Macaca mulatta: one gene and its partners. The protein of the gene in region 2 interacts with the protein of the main gene of each other region in a pairwise test. Links are inferred from orthologs where the notes say so. Each region holds a gene or a part of one and is shown on either strand. Other genes may lie near its edges. The genes, in order: SIAH1, PEG10 and FAM127A.

What was found.
Region 1: the proteins of PEG10 (region 2) and SIAH1 interact in binary tests that used the Homo sapiens proteins (3 or more experiments, as listed by UniProt). The link is inferred for Macaca mulatta from reciprocal best matches to the Homo sapiens genes PEG10 and SIAH1.
Region 3: the proteins of PEG10 (region 2) and FAM127A interact in binary tests that used the Homo sapiens proteins (3 or more experiments, as listed by UniProt). The two-hybrid records come from large-scale screens. The link is inferred for Macaca mulatta from reciprocal best matches to the Homo sapiens genes PEG10 and RTL8C.

The regions. Positions count from the first base shown.
Region 1 is NC_133425.1:43,776,344-43,780,458, reverse strand, and holds the start of SIAH1 (E3 ubiquitin-protein ligase SIAH1), read left to right. Parts: upstream 1-1,285; 5' UTR 1,286-1,470; coding exon 1,471-1,561; intron 1,562-4,115. UniProt on the Homo sapiens protein: E3 ubiquitin-protein ligase that mediates ubiquitination and subsequent proteasomal degradation of target proteins.
Region 2 is NC_133408.1:124,715,913-124,720,319, forward strand, and holds PEG10 (retrotransposon-derived protein PEG10), read right to left. Parts: upstream 2,908-4,407; 5' UTR 2,787-2,907; coding exon 1,707-2,786; coding exon of another isoform or gene 559-1,706; 3' UTR 128-558; downstream 1-127.
Region 3 is NC_133426.1:141,544,718-141,547,759, reverse strand, and holds FAM127A (protein FAM127A), read right to left. Parts: upstream 1,860-3,042; 5' UTR 1,774-1,859; coding exon 1,432-1,773; 3' UTR 612-1,431; downstream 1-611.

The DNA of each region.
Region 1 (4,115 bases), on a different chromosome or scaffold from region 2:
GCAACAGTGAGACCCCGTCTCAAGAAAAAAGAAAAAAAAAATAGTTCTGGCACGACTGTGTCTATTTTCAATTATATTTCTTTTCCTAATGTTGTTTTGTGTAGCCTGTATTGTAAAATGAGGTTGAGGTGATTGGACACACTGTTAATAGAGTGAGGAAGTGGGTAGAGTTAAAATTTCTTGCTGAAAGTGGGTAATCTGCAGTTCCTTGCATTGGGTTCACTCCTCACTGCCAGCTCTTGCTGCATTTGGAGGCTGCCCTAAGCATGATGTAATGACAGGTTAAACCTCTGCACGCACTAGCTGATGCAATGCAAATCTGAGGCCCAGGACTTTATTGGGGCAAGGGTAATGCTTGTTTAAAAACAAAACAAGCTACTCTGTGTTTAATGAGGCCATTTAAGATGGCTTTCCCAGAGTGGGAAGAGTATAATCTCTTAGGAGGTTTAAGTAGGAGTTTAATGTGGCAGAAGTGTGCTTACAACTTTTCCTGCGAAGTCTTTTCACAGCGGGGAAGGAGAGTTTAAAATATAGTGCCCATAGGAGTAGAAATGAAGTGAGCTAGAATTGAGTAAATATGGTAGTTGATGCCCGGTAAATAGCTGTTGAATGAATTAAGGAGAATGTTTTCACTCTAAAAATTAAGTTTGCACGATGAACCGGGAATGTAGCGCCGGTGTGGGCACGCATTTCCCAGATACGCCAGATACGCTGTAGCTCTTAGATCGAACCGTGAGAAACTGCCGATATTCGACTGTTGTGACCTACCGAAAACAGCATGGTTCTACCTAATTTTAAACTGGTGGAAATGCTGAGGAAGGCTCGATGTCGCTGGGGTGGGATGGGGTCAACAGCGGGGTGGCGGGGCCCCGCCCTGGGCTGCGGGGCGGGGCTTGCGGGCACAGCCCCACCCCTGCGCGAGCAAGACGGGCACCGCCCTGCGCGCTGCGCGCCCTGAGCTGGCCCTGGCGCCCCGGGTTGGAGTGGGCGTTCCCAACGCAGGCCCAGCCCCGGCCGAGGCTCCAAATGGCTCTCCAGCAGGCAGGCTTCTGCAGTAGCCCCTGAGCTGGCTCAGGGAGCGCACTTCCTTCGCAGTGAGCGCGTCGCCCCCTGCATCCCCGGCCTCCACCGGAGCTGGGGAGCTGGGCAGTAGCCTACGGAGTGAATCTGGAGAAGACAAACTTGGGAGACAGACGAAAGCTTAGGGCACACTGGAGGACAGCGCAGCTGTGGCTCCCATTTTTGGAGATGCAGCCGAATTTGAGCTCACAGGGAGGTGTGGTTGCCTCCTGGGGATGGGAAGGCTTCCTTTCTCCACCTCTGTAACTCGTGCTTCTGAGAAGTAAATGGATATTTGGATCCTGACCTCAGACGCGAATTTGGGTCTTCTGTGCTTAGGAGCAGAAAGTGCCCAGGAGGGGCCTGTTCCTTTACTTCTTGGGGGAAACGCAATGCGCGGCCTGACTTCTCATGACGGGAAAGGCTACTCCACCTTCTCTGTACTCCTGGAGGGGAGTCTTGTTCACATGTTTACCAGCGGCCAGGACAAGGAAGAGAAAAGGTATTGACATTAAGAGGATAGGTTGCTGAGGCTATGAAGCTTGAACGCTATTAGTCAGTGGAACCTGTCTGGCTTAGGGAATGGCTGCAGCAGAATCCAGCCGTTTCCGAGGTTCTCAGTCATGTTTCATTTGGGTTGCTGTGCTTTTTTATGTTTAAATCAAACTTCAGGTTACGTCATGACTTCTGCAGGGCTGTCCTTAGTTCCTACTGCAGGGCGGCTGTGTGGTTGGGATTCCTTTTCTGTTTCAAGATGGAGCTGGGTTCCACCCTTGGAGCTTTGAGAGGCTTTAGCAGTTGCTGTCCTGTAATACCTCCATTCACAAGAAATACCGTTCACATTTCAGTTCTTTTTCACACTTTGAATAGGAGTTAAAATGTGCTTTCTATAGTGTTTGGAAAATGGTAAAGATGTATTGTGAGCCTGAACTGTTGATGATAAATGTATAACTATTGCTAGGTCAAGAAATTGTGAACAACAGTGTTTTTCTCGGTCTCTAGCTATGTTGTGTTAAATATAAACTGAGTTTACTGCCCTTGGATGTGATTCCTTGGTTTGGTTTAGTAATCTGAAAGGCATTGGTTGACTAGACTGTTTTGTGCCCAAGGAACCACTTTGTAATTGTTATGCTGCTTACTGAAGTAAACTGGACCATGCAGTAGGCATACAGCATACAGCCAGGGTGTTTTGGCAATACTGAGCCCACTGTTTTACAAGTGACATAAAATGGATGTCATATGTACAAAGAATCTACTCAGAGGGAAACTGGATTACAGGAGAGCTCCTTTATAGTCCTTTGTCAGGGGACAGAACACCTGGGTCACACTGGGCTTCAGATGAGAGTTGATTCATGTTCTGAGTCCGTATGATGAGACACATTATGATGGAATTCTGTCACTTTTGTTGCCTCTTGAACTTTAAAATATCCTTTTAGTGATGTGGAATTAATCTTTATTTTTCCTTCACCCTAAGCCCTCATTTAAGCTATCAGTTGGTAACCACTTGGGTAATCTAGAAACCAAGTTGCATTTACTTGGTCACATTGGTAACCAACATTGTTTCTTAAAAGTTCCCTGCAACAGAATAATGACTATAATTGAATTAAAACATTAATTTTGAAGCTTTAATTTTGTAATATGGCTTAGTGGCCGGGCGCAGTGGCCAATGCCTGTAATCCCAGCACTTTGGGACGCCGAGGCCGGGGAATCACGAGGTCAGGAGTTTGAGACCAGCCATGGTGAAACCCCGTCTCTACTAAAAATACAAAAATTAGTCGGGCATGGTGGTAGGCACTTGTAATCCCAGCTGCTTTTGAGGCTGAGGCAGGAGAATTGCTTGAACCTGGGAGGCAGAGGTTGCAGTGAGCAGGCACCATTGTACTCCGGCCTGGGCAACAAGAGCAAAACTCCATCTCAAAAAAAAAAAAAAAAAAAAAAGAATATGGCTTAGTAGAGTTACTAGGAGTGCACTCTTAGGACATCGACTGATCTTTTTTTCCACCCCCAAGACAAATAGTGGCCTGCAATATCCCAGCCCAGGTAGCTTCCTGGGAAAAGTTGCTTGTTTTATGTTTGACTCAGCTTGACTAGTTACATTGTCGATTATTTCTTCCAGATGACATTTACTTGTTAAATAACGTTGATTACTCTGCTGATGAATGTTTCAGCAACGCTGGAGAACCCTAGGCTGCAAGGGGTTCTTCACCTGTTGACTTCATCCCCCACCCCCAGTATGGTATATTATCTCTGCCGTGCTATCATCTTTATTCTTTCCTTTTTCACTGTCTCTTCCTGACTCTCCTCCTTTGTTCATTATGTCTGATACATATTGTGGATTGAAAGTGGAACAGAAAGATGTACTTTCTCTACCAGACTAAAAAGTTTTGAGATGGCCCTCCATTTCTCCTATGTCTCCCTTCACCTTTGTTGTGTGTTTATTTTTATATTTTTGCTACCTTCACTAGCGAGTACATCCCCTCACTCTTGAGGTGAGCACTAATCAGTAAGAAATAAGATTAATACCTGGCTGATGATAATTTGGGGGGAAGACTTAATTAGGTAAAGATGGATAATGGGATGGCAGCAGACCTTTCCCCTTGTGACCCCTCCCCTCATTCCCAAAGTACACCTCTAGAGTAGATAATGGCTTACCATTAAGAAGAGTTAATGGAAGGTTCTCTGATTCTTTGGCATTGGAACTACACTTGTCCCGCGGTATCCTCGGAAGATTAGTTCTAGGACCCCCTTCCCCATACCAAAACCTGAGGATGCTCAAGTCCCTGATAGAAAATGGTGTCGTATATGTATGTGCATATTCTCCTGTATAATTTAAATTATCTCTGGATTACTTAATACAATGTAAATAATACGTAAATAGTTGTTATAGACTGTATTTTAAAAATTTTGTATTATTTGTAAATTTTTCTGAATATTTTCAATCCATGGCTGTGGTGAAGTCCTTGGATGCAGACCGTGTGAATACAGAGTGCCGATTTTATCCAGGACTTCACCTGTAACTCCCTATACCTATCAATAGCTGACTCCAAATTAGAAAG
Region 2 (4,407 bases):
AGAGGATCACGGAAGCCTTTCCATACTGCACCGATAATTTTGGCTTCCTTAATAAGGCCTCGGTCCTCCAGTGATTTAAAGAGGGTACCGAAACTGCAAGAAAAGTCATGTCCTCCTCCTCCTCTTTGTCTCCCCCTCCATAAAGAAATCAGCATTTCCTGCATTTGTATCAGCTTCTCTGTAAATGTTAAAGAACAAATTTGGCAGCCTATAATTTAGATGGTGACAGAGGTTTTGGCAGGTAAAACCCAGACTTCCAGGACTGGCTGGAAAGTAAACTTACTAATTATTTTAGTTAGATTGGCAGTCAAGGTGGAAAAATGAGAGCTAATTTATTGGCAAATACTCTGTTGCTCTCAGAAAATGTTGAAGGTCTTTTGGTGCTTTAGGATGTGTGCCAGTCCAGGGTGGCCCTGACCTTCTACAGCCGTTTCAGAGAGGATGTGCCTCAGGTGGCCTGAAGATACAGTAGCCTAAAACTTAGCACACAGTCACTGATTGAGAAGCTGAACAGGAATAAATTTTGAGGGCAGAGATCCTGAAGGACACGACAAGTATTTACAGGGTACTGTAAGATGGAGGCGGCGGCGGCGGCGGTGGTGGAGGCGGCGGCTGTGGCGGCGGGTACTGTGGTACCGGAGGCTGGCGGTACCAGTGTGGATTCCAAGTGATCATAACAGGTACATATAGTGATCTTCCTTGTCCGTCTCTTCCCACTGGGTACCAGGCGAATCCTACTGGGTAGGTCGGGTATGCGGCATACGTGGGGTACGTTTGGTATCCAGGTATTTGAGGTACGAATTCAGTGTACGTTGCCAGGTGCGCTTGGTCTTCTAAATTTGGAATAGATAGGCGAGGATACTGATTCTGGATAGTAAAATTGTTTGGAGCTCGGCAATCGTAAGAAACTTGCAGTTTCCACCCCCTCTTCACCTGGAGAACTTGGGCTCCATTAGGTGCGATCGTTGGAGTAATCAGCCCATCTTTCACATTTCTTGCCACAAAATCTCGAAGAGCTGCCATTTCAGGTTCAGACAGTGAGTACACATGTCCGCTGGGAATACTGTGTGCTCCAGGTATCATTTCTATGTGAGGGTCAACCAGGCGGTGATCTGGGTAGACGTGCTCATCTACTGGAGTGTACACATTCTGGACATAGTAATATCTCACTGGTTGGTAAACTCTGTATCCATCTACTGGATAATAGAGTGGCGGTTGTTGTGCTGGTGGTGGGAGCGATGGTGGTATTGGAGAATACATCCGGCAGTGGTAGCGGCAGTATTCAGAATCAAAGACAATAGATCGAGTGCTCCATGTGATGTTGGGATCATGTGTGCTCAGCCAGCGAACCCCTAGGACGACAGGGAAGAATGGAGACTGAGTCACATCAAATGACAGCACTTCACGGTGATCTCCCAGGTCAACTATCAGGTCGTGAGTTTCGTGGACAACTGGGCCCGATGCTATGGGGCGCCCATCAATTGCTTCCACAAGTATTGGCCAGTCCTTGATTCTTAGAGGAATTCCATTTTGAGCAACGTATTCGTGATCAATGAAGTTGCCAGAAGCACCAGAATCGATCATGGCTCGGACGAACAGGGTGTGTCTGCCCGGAAGATGAATCTGGAGCATCACTTGCAAGTGTGGAGATGAGGCGTCATCTTGTGGGGACCTTATTATTTCTGGCCCGGTCGCTGAAGGTCCCTCTACAGCGGGGCCGGGGAGTTTCCCGCCGGCGAAGACTTCGAGGCCTTGGCAGGACAGTTGTCAGCGTAGTGACCTCCTGTTCCACAGTAGAGGCACAGGTTCAGCTTTCTGCGTCTTTCTTTTTCCTCCTGGGTCAGGCGCATGCGGGCACCTCCCACCGGCTCGGTTGGATCTACCTGGTGGTGGCTTGCAACGTGAGGCAACACCAGCGCCCGGGGTGGTGAGCGTGGCTTGCGAGCTGCAGCAGCCCTGGCCAGCCTTCTCTCAATGTGAATGCACTGCCCAATCAGAGCAGACAGCGACTTGGCGACCTCGAGGTGGGAGAGCTCCTCCTGAATGTGGTCGCTGAGGCCCTCGTGGTACTGGTCAATCAGCGCAGGCTCGTTCCAATCCAGGTCCTGGGCAATCATCTGGAAAGCATTGGAATAGTCGATGACAGACCCCATGCCTTGGCGCAGGCGTCTGATCTTGCGTTTGGCAGCCTCTCGCCTCTGAGGGTCTTCAAAGACATGCTTCATTTCCATCATGAAAGCTGGGTAGTTGTGCATCAGGTAGTGGGAGCGCTCCAGCTTTGCTGAGGCCCAGCGGGCAGCACGGCCGGTCATCATGCTTGTCACGAAACAGACACGGACACGATCAACTGAGAAATCTCTGGTGCTCTTTTCCATGAAGATCTGGCACTGGGCCATGAAAGGAGCCAGCATGTCTGGGTTGCCATCGAACTTCTCTGGAAGGTCTTCTGGGCACTCTTCCTCTATTGGAGGGGGTGGGGCAGCAGCTGCTGCAGCACCGCGGAGCTCGATGTCATCATCATCATCCTCAGGGGTGGGTTCCACTTGCTCTCGAAGGGTGGTGTTCTCCTCTGTGAGCTTCTGCACCTGGTTCTGCAGGTTGCTGTTCTCCTCGGACTGCTTAATGACCTTCTCTCTTAGGTTGTTGATCTCTTCAGAGAGCTCATCCCTTCTTCGTTCGGTCATGTTGGGGACACACGCGCTCTTATGGCCGGTGTGCTTGGAGTTGTTGTTGTTGTTGTTGTTGGGGGGAGGGGGAGGGGGAGGAGGTGGGCAGTCGGGACCCAGGGTGACGGTTGGGGTGGGAGGAGACCTCCCAGCTGTAGCTTCACTTCTGTGGGGATGGAGGCCTGGATCCTGGCCCCCTCTTCCACTCCTTCTTTTTTTTGTTTTCAAAATCCGCTTATTTCTGTAAATAAAGATAAATGTATAAATCCAACTTATAGATTCAAAGCAGCAAAATGCAGACACAAAGGATTTAGTATTTAAATTATCCCTTGCTCCATGCACTTACTTTAATAATTAGCGAACAAAGAAAACAAACTTTCAAGAGAAAAGTATCAATCAGCACCATAGATAACAAAAAGGAAACTACTTTTTGATGTTCAAATGACCTTGTCTTCCTCAAAGGCCACCTGTTCATTATGATTCAACAATACATCATCAACAGCATGCTTACCTTTATAAACTATAAAAGAATGTTGAAACCCTCTAAACAAGTAGTTTTGTATTGAAACAGAGGAAGAAACTTCAAGGCAAACATAGATACCAAATCAATTATGCAAATTAAAGCCAAAATAATAACTTTTGTTACTAAAGAAGCTAGGCCAAAAATAGTTAATACTACAACTAATAGAAGCTAATTAAAAAAGAGGGGAGTATTAAAATCACAATGCATGTATTCATCAGCCCTGTGGGCGGGAGGAGGGTACTGTGGCCAACTGTCACAACCCTGTTTCACTGCCACAGAGAAGGTCACTGGTTATCAAATCAAACAACCACCACCACAAAAACTACAGGACTGCCTAAATTACTTTTCTGACCATAATTTAAATCCCCAAAGAAAATTCTCTGTGGGACAGAAATGGCACTAAGCAGCAATATGTGTATGTCAGTTTCCCTTGTCATTTATGCAGTCATTCAAGAAATACTAATTGATGCCTCCTAGGAAAAGCTATAAAATGGGGCATTCAAAGAAGCCCAATAATAGTATACCTCAAACTAATTGTGAGGACTTAATTAAATAGTGCAGGTAAATTATGTAGTGAGTATTCAATAATGGTTAGCTGATATTAACAAAGTTATTAATTAGAAAATAGAAAGGTGATTATCTGTGTGAAGAGAGTGGGATTAAAAGAGGGAGGGGCTGCAACTATAGCAACATGGGCATGCATTTCCCACCTAAAGATGTTTACTTTTTTAAAAACACTGTGTTGGTCAAATCCAAGGCCTTATTTGTCTTGCAGGTCACCAGTTTGCAATCCATAGTTTTTAACCAAGATTTGTCAGCATAGCCCCAAATGCAGGTTTGTAATGTTAAGGTGGGACAGGGCTGCATTCCTGCGGGTGAGTGGATGTGTGTGGGGAGGTGGGGGTAGGGTGTGTGTTTAAGCATTCTAATTATGAGTGCAATGACAATAAATCACACACATAAAAAATCCTGACACAGTGTCTGCCTGTGTACTTCCTGAAAATACAGTTAAATACATTTAGAATGATTTAATTATTTTAAATTTTATTAATAATCTCAAGTCCCATATTCGGAAAATTTAAATACATAAAAAGTTTAAAACATAATATGTAAAAGTTTAAAAAAGTTTAAAAAACTTTAATTTAAAAAGTTTAAAACTTTTAAAGAAAGTTTAAAAAGTTTATAAAGCTTTTAAAGAAAGTTTGAAAAGCTTATAAA
Region 3 (3,042 bases), on a different chromosome or scaffold from region 2:
AGAGGCATGTTAGCACAGTAGATTTCAAAGATTTGCATGCAGAGATACGTTGAAGAGAATTTTTTTTTTTCTGCCCATTAGGGAAGGTGGTAATTGTATTGTGTTTCAGGTCATTCATTAAACAAGTTTGTACCTAAATTAACTACAGTTCTGCATTCCTTTCTCCACCACTTACCCAATTAAAGCAATATAAATGTAAATGCTTTTTCTGAAGTATCTAAGCCATTTTGCTGGTTCCCTGATAATGCATTAAATAAAACTGTAAGAAGTGTTCACCAACAAATGTGTGAGATGCATGGCTTGTAACCATCTGGGGTATATGCTTTCAGACAGTTTTTTGGAAAAGAGGGAAGAAAAAGCACCCTATCTGACTATTCCTTATCTTATCTTGGCCACAGTCAGATTAAGGTTCATTTCCTAAGGGGCACAAAACTTGACTTGTTTACAACATTAATCATCTGGGATTAGTCACCGGTGGGATCTCCATTTGCAGGACACCACAGGACTCTGTGTCAACATCAACCATAGCGTGGCAGGACATATAGTTTTTGAACAAGATATGGACCCCATTTACAGAACCAGGGAGGGAAAAGTGCCATATTGACTGAGACCATTTCTTTTCAATAATGTCTGACATTTATTGAAAATAAGGAAAAGACTTTCTCCAGGTAGTGTATTAGAGCAGAGCAGAATGCAGGGGTTACTGTGTTGAACAAAAGGCACACATCAGAGAGACAGTTGCAAACTCAGAAAACTGGGTTATAGGCAAAACTAACTGGTCCACAAGAGAAAATGAGAGACTCGATTTGGCTGCCAGGCACACCTGGGTCTAGGCTGGAACACAAGAGGTTTCTGGGGGTGGGGAGGAAATAGGTCTCGCTGAAGGTGACAGATCCCTTGGGGGGCCAGCTGTCTGGATCACTGTCCAAGGACTGTGGCCAGCCCAGATACCTCCGAGGTGAGTCCAGATCACTAGGAGCAGCAGTCTGTCAGTGGGATGCGATGGATGGCGATGGCAGTGGCAGCGCAGGTCTGTGGGCAGAATGATGTAGTCGTCTGGCAGTCTGGTGGGGAGGAGGGGGCTTGGCAGCGGCGGCAGTGGGTGGTCTGTCCAGTGTGTAACAGGAGCCCAGCTTGCAGCTGGAGCGCAGGACAGCGTCCAAATGTGCATGGGAGGGGCTGGCTGGCTGGAAGGAGAGGGCGGCGGCTCGCTCCAGAGTGAGGCCCAGGGGCGGCAGCAGGAGCCTGGAGCGCTATTCCTGGAACAAAGGCAAGCACTACGCGGGAGGGGACAGGAGCGCAGGGGACATCGCGGCGGCTCGAGGGGGAGGGAGGTGCGGAGGGAGGGCGCCTGTGGCGACCCTGGCGGCGGCCAGTAACACAGCGGGCCCTCCCCAGAGCACCCGCCCCCAGGCTCGAGGGTCTCCCGGCCTAAAAGTCCTCGTCCTCCTCCCATCCAAAGACCCGCTTCATCTCGGCCAGGAAGCCCCGGTAATCATTGAGGAGGGGGCTCTCCTTCTTGATGTAGGGGATCACCCACTGCAGGGCGGGCCCCGTGAGGCGGGTGATGAGGAACGTCACCTTCAGGGCGTCGCTGGAGAATGTGTTCTCGTCCACGAACATGTAGGAGCCCGTCTGCACGATGAACTCCGGGAGCCGGTCGGTATCGCCATCAAACGTCTCGGGAAAGGGAATCGGGTTCCTCCAGCGACGCGTCGCAGGTCGGATCGGCAAGGCCAGGAGGGCCTTTATCAGCTGCACCCGACCGTCCATCGCTGCTCTTCGCTTCGCTGGACGTCAATGGGCTCCACCCGGCTCTGCAGAGGTCAGTACCGAGGCGTCGCCGGAAATGCGTGTCCACGAAGGCCTGCCCAAGCTAGGGTGGGCGGGGCCACGAGCGGGGCTCCAGCCCTCTCATGGACTCCGCCCACAAGGCCGGGTGTTCCCTAGTACGCAGGCGCGTCGTGGGGCACACACTTGCGAAGAAGGGCCTAAAGCCCTCAAGGAGGCAGGGTCCTATCGGAGAGGCTGGGCTGAGGGTTCCTAAGGTGGCGGGACGGGGAGCAGGGGAGGAACCAGGGAGACCTGGTGGTGTACGGGGCGCGAGGAGCTCGCTCCAAGGGTATGTTAGGGGCCCTACCTAGTTCTGGTAGTTGAGGAGTCCTCCCGCTGCACTGGTCCCCACCTCTCATCAGCCCTTGGGTATGCATTCGGGGAGCCTTGGCCCTGGACGCCACTAGTATGAGGTTCTGTGAACACATTTTCCTGCTCCTTCTTGCGTCTCTCAACCAGATTATTGGCTCCCTACTTTGCAACATTAATAGAGAAGCCCCACATATTAGCAAATATAATCCAGAGCAGCATGTTCAAAGAGTAATGCACCACGCTTGAGGGATGTATACTCCATTCTCCATGATGTGATTATTAGGACCTAGTATTTGATAGCACAACAGGATGACTACAGTCAAAATAATTTAATTGTACATTTAAAAATAACTGAAAGAGTGTAATTGGATTGTTTGTAGCACAAAGGATAAGTGCTTGAGGGGATGGATGCCCCATTTACCATTATGTGATTATTATGCATTGTATACCTATATTAAAGCATTTCACGTACCCCATAAATACATATACCTATCATGTACCCACAAAAATTAGAAAATAAATTTTTAAAAAGAATAATATACCACAAGCAGTTAATGTAAGGAGAGTTAAATATTAAGAAATCTCTTAATTTGTTATAAAAGCTGCCCTCAGTTCTCTGTCACGTTGCCCTGTCTCTAGGCAGTTCACTACACTGCAGCTTGTTTCTTCATGGAACAAAGGGAGAATGTTTCTCCTTGAAAGATGGAGTCATGTATAAACTAACATAATCATGGGAGTTCATCACCTTTGCCACATTCTCTTGGTTAGAAGCAAGCCATAGTCCCCACCTACACTGAAAGGTATGACCAGGATATTGGGATGTTGGGGGCCACCTTAGAATCTGTCTGCCATAGCATGGATATACAAATTTGGTGATCCATTCATTTGTTGGAAGGT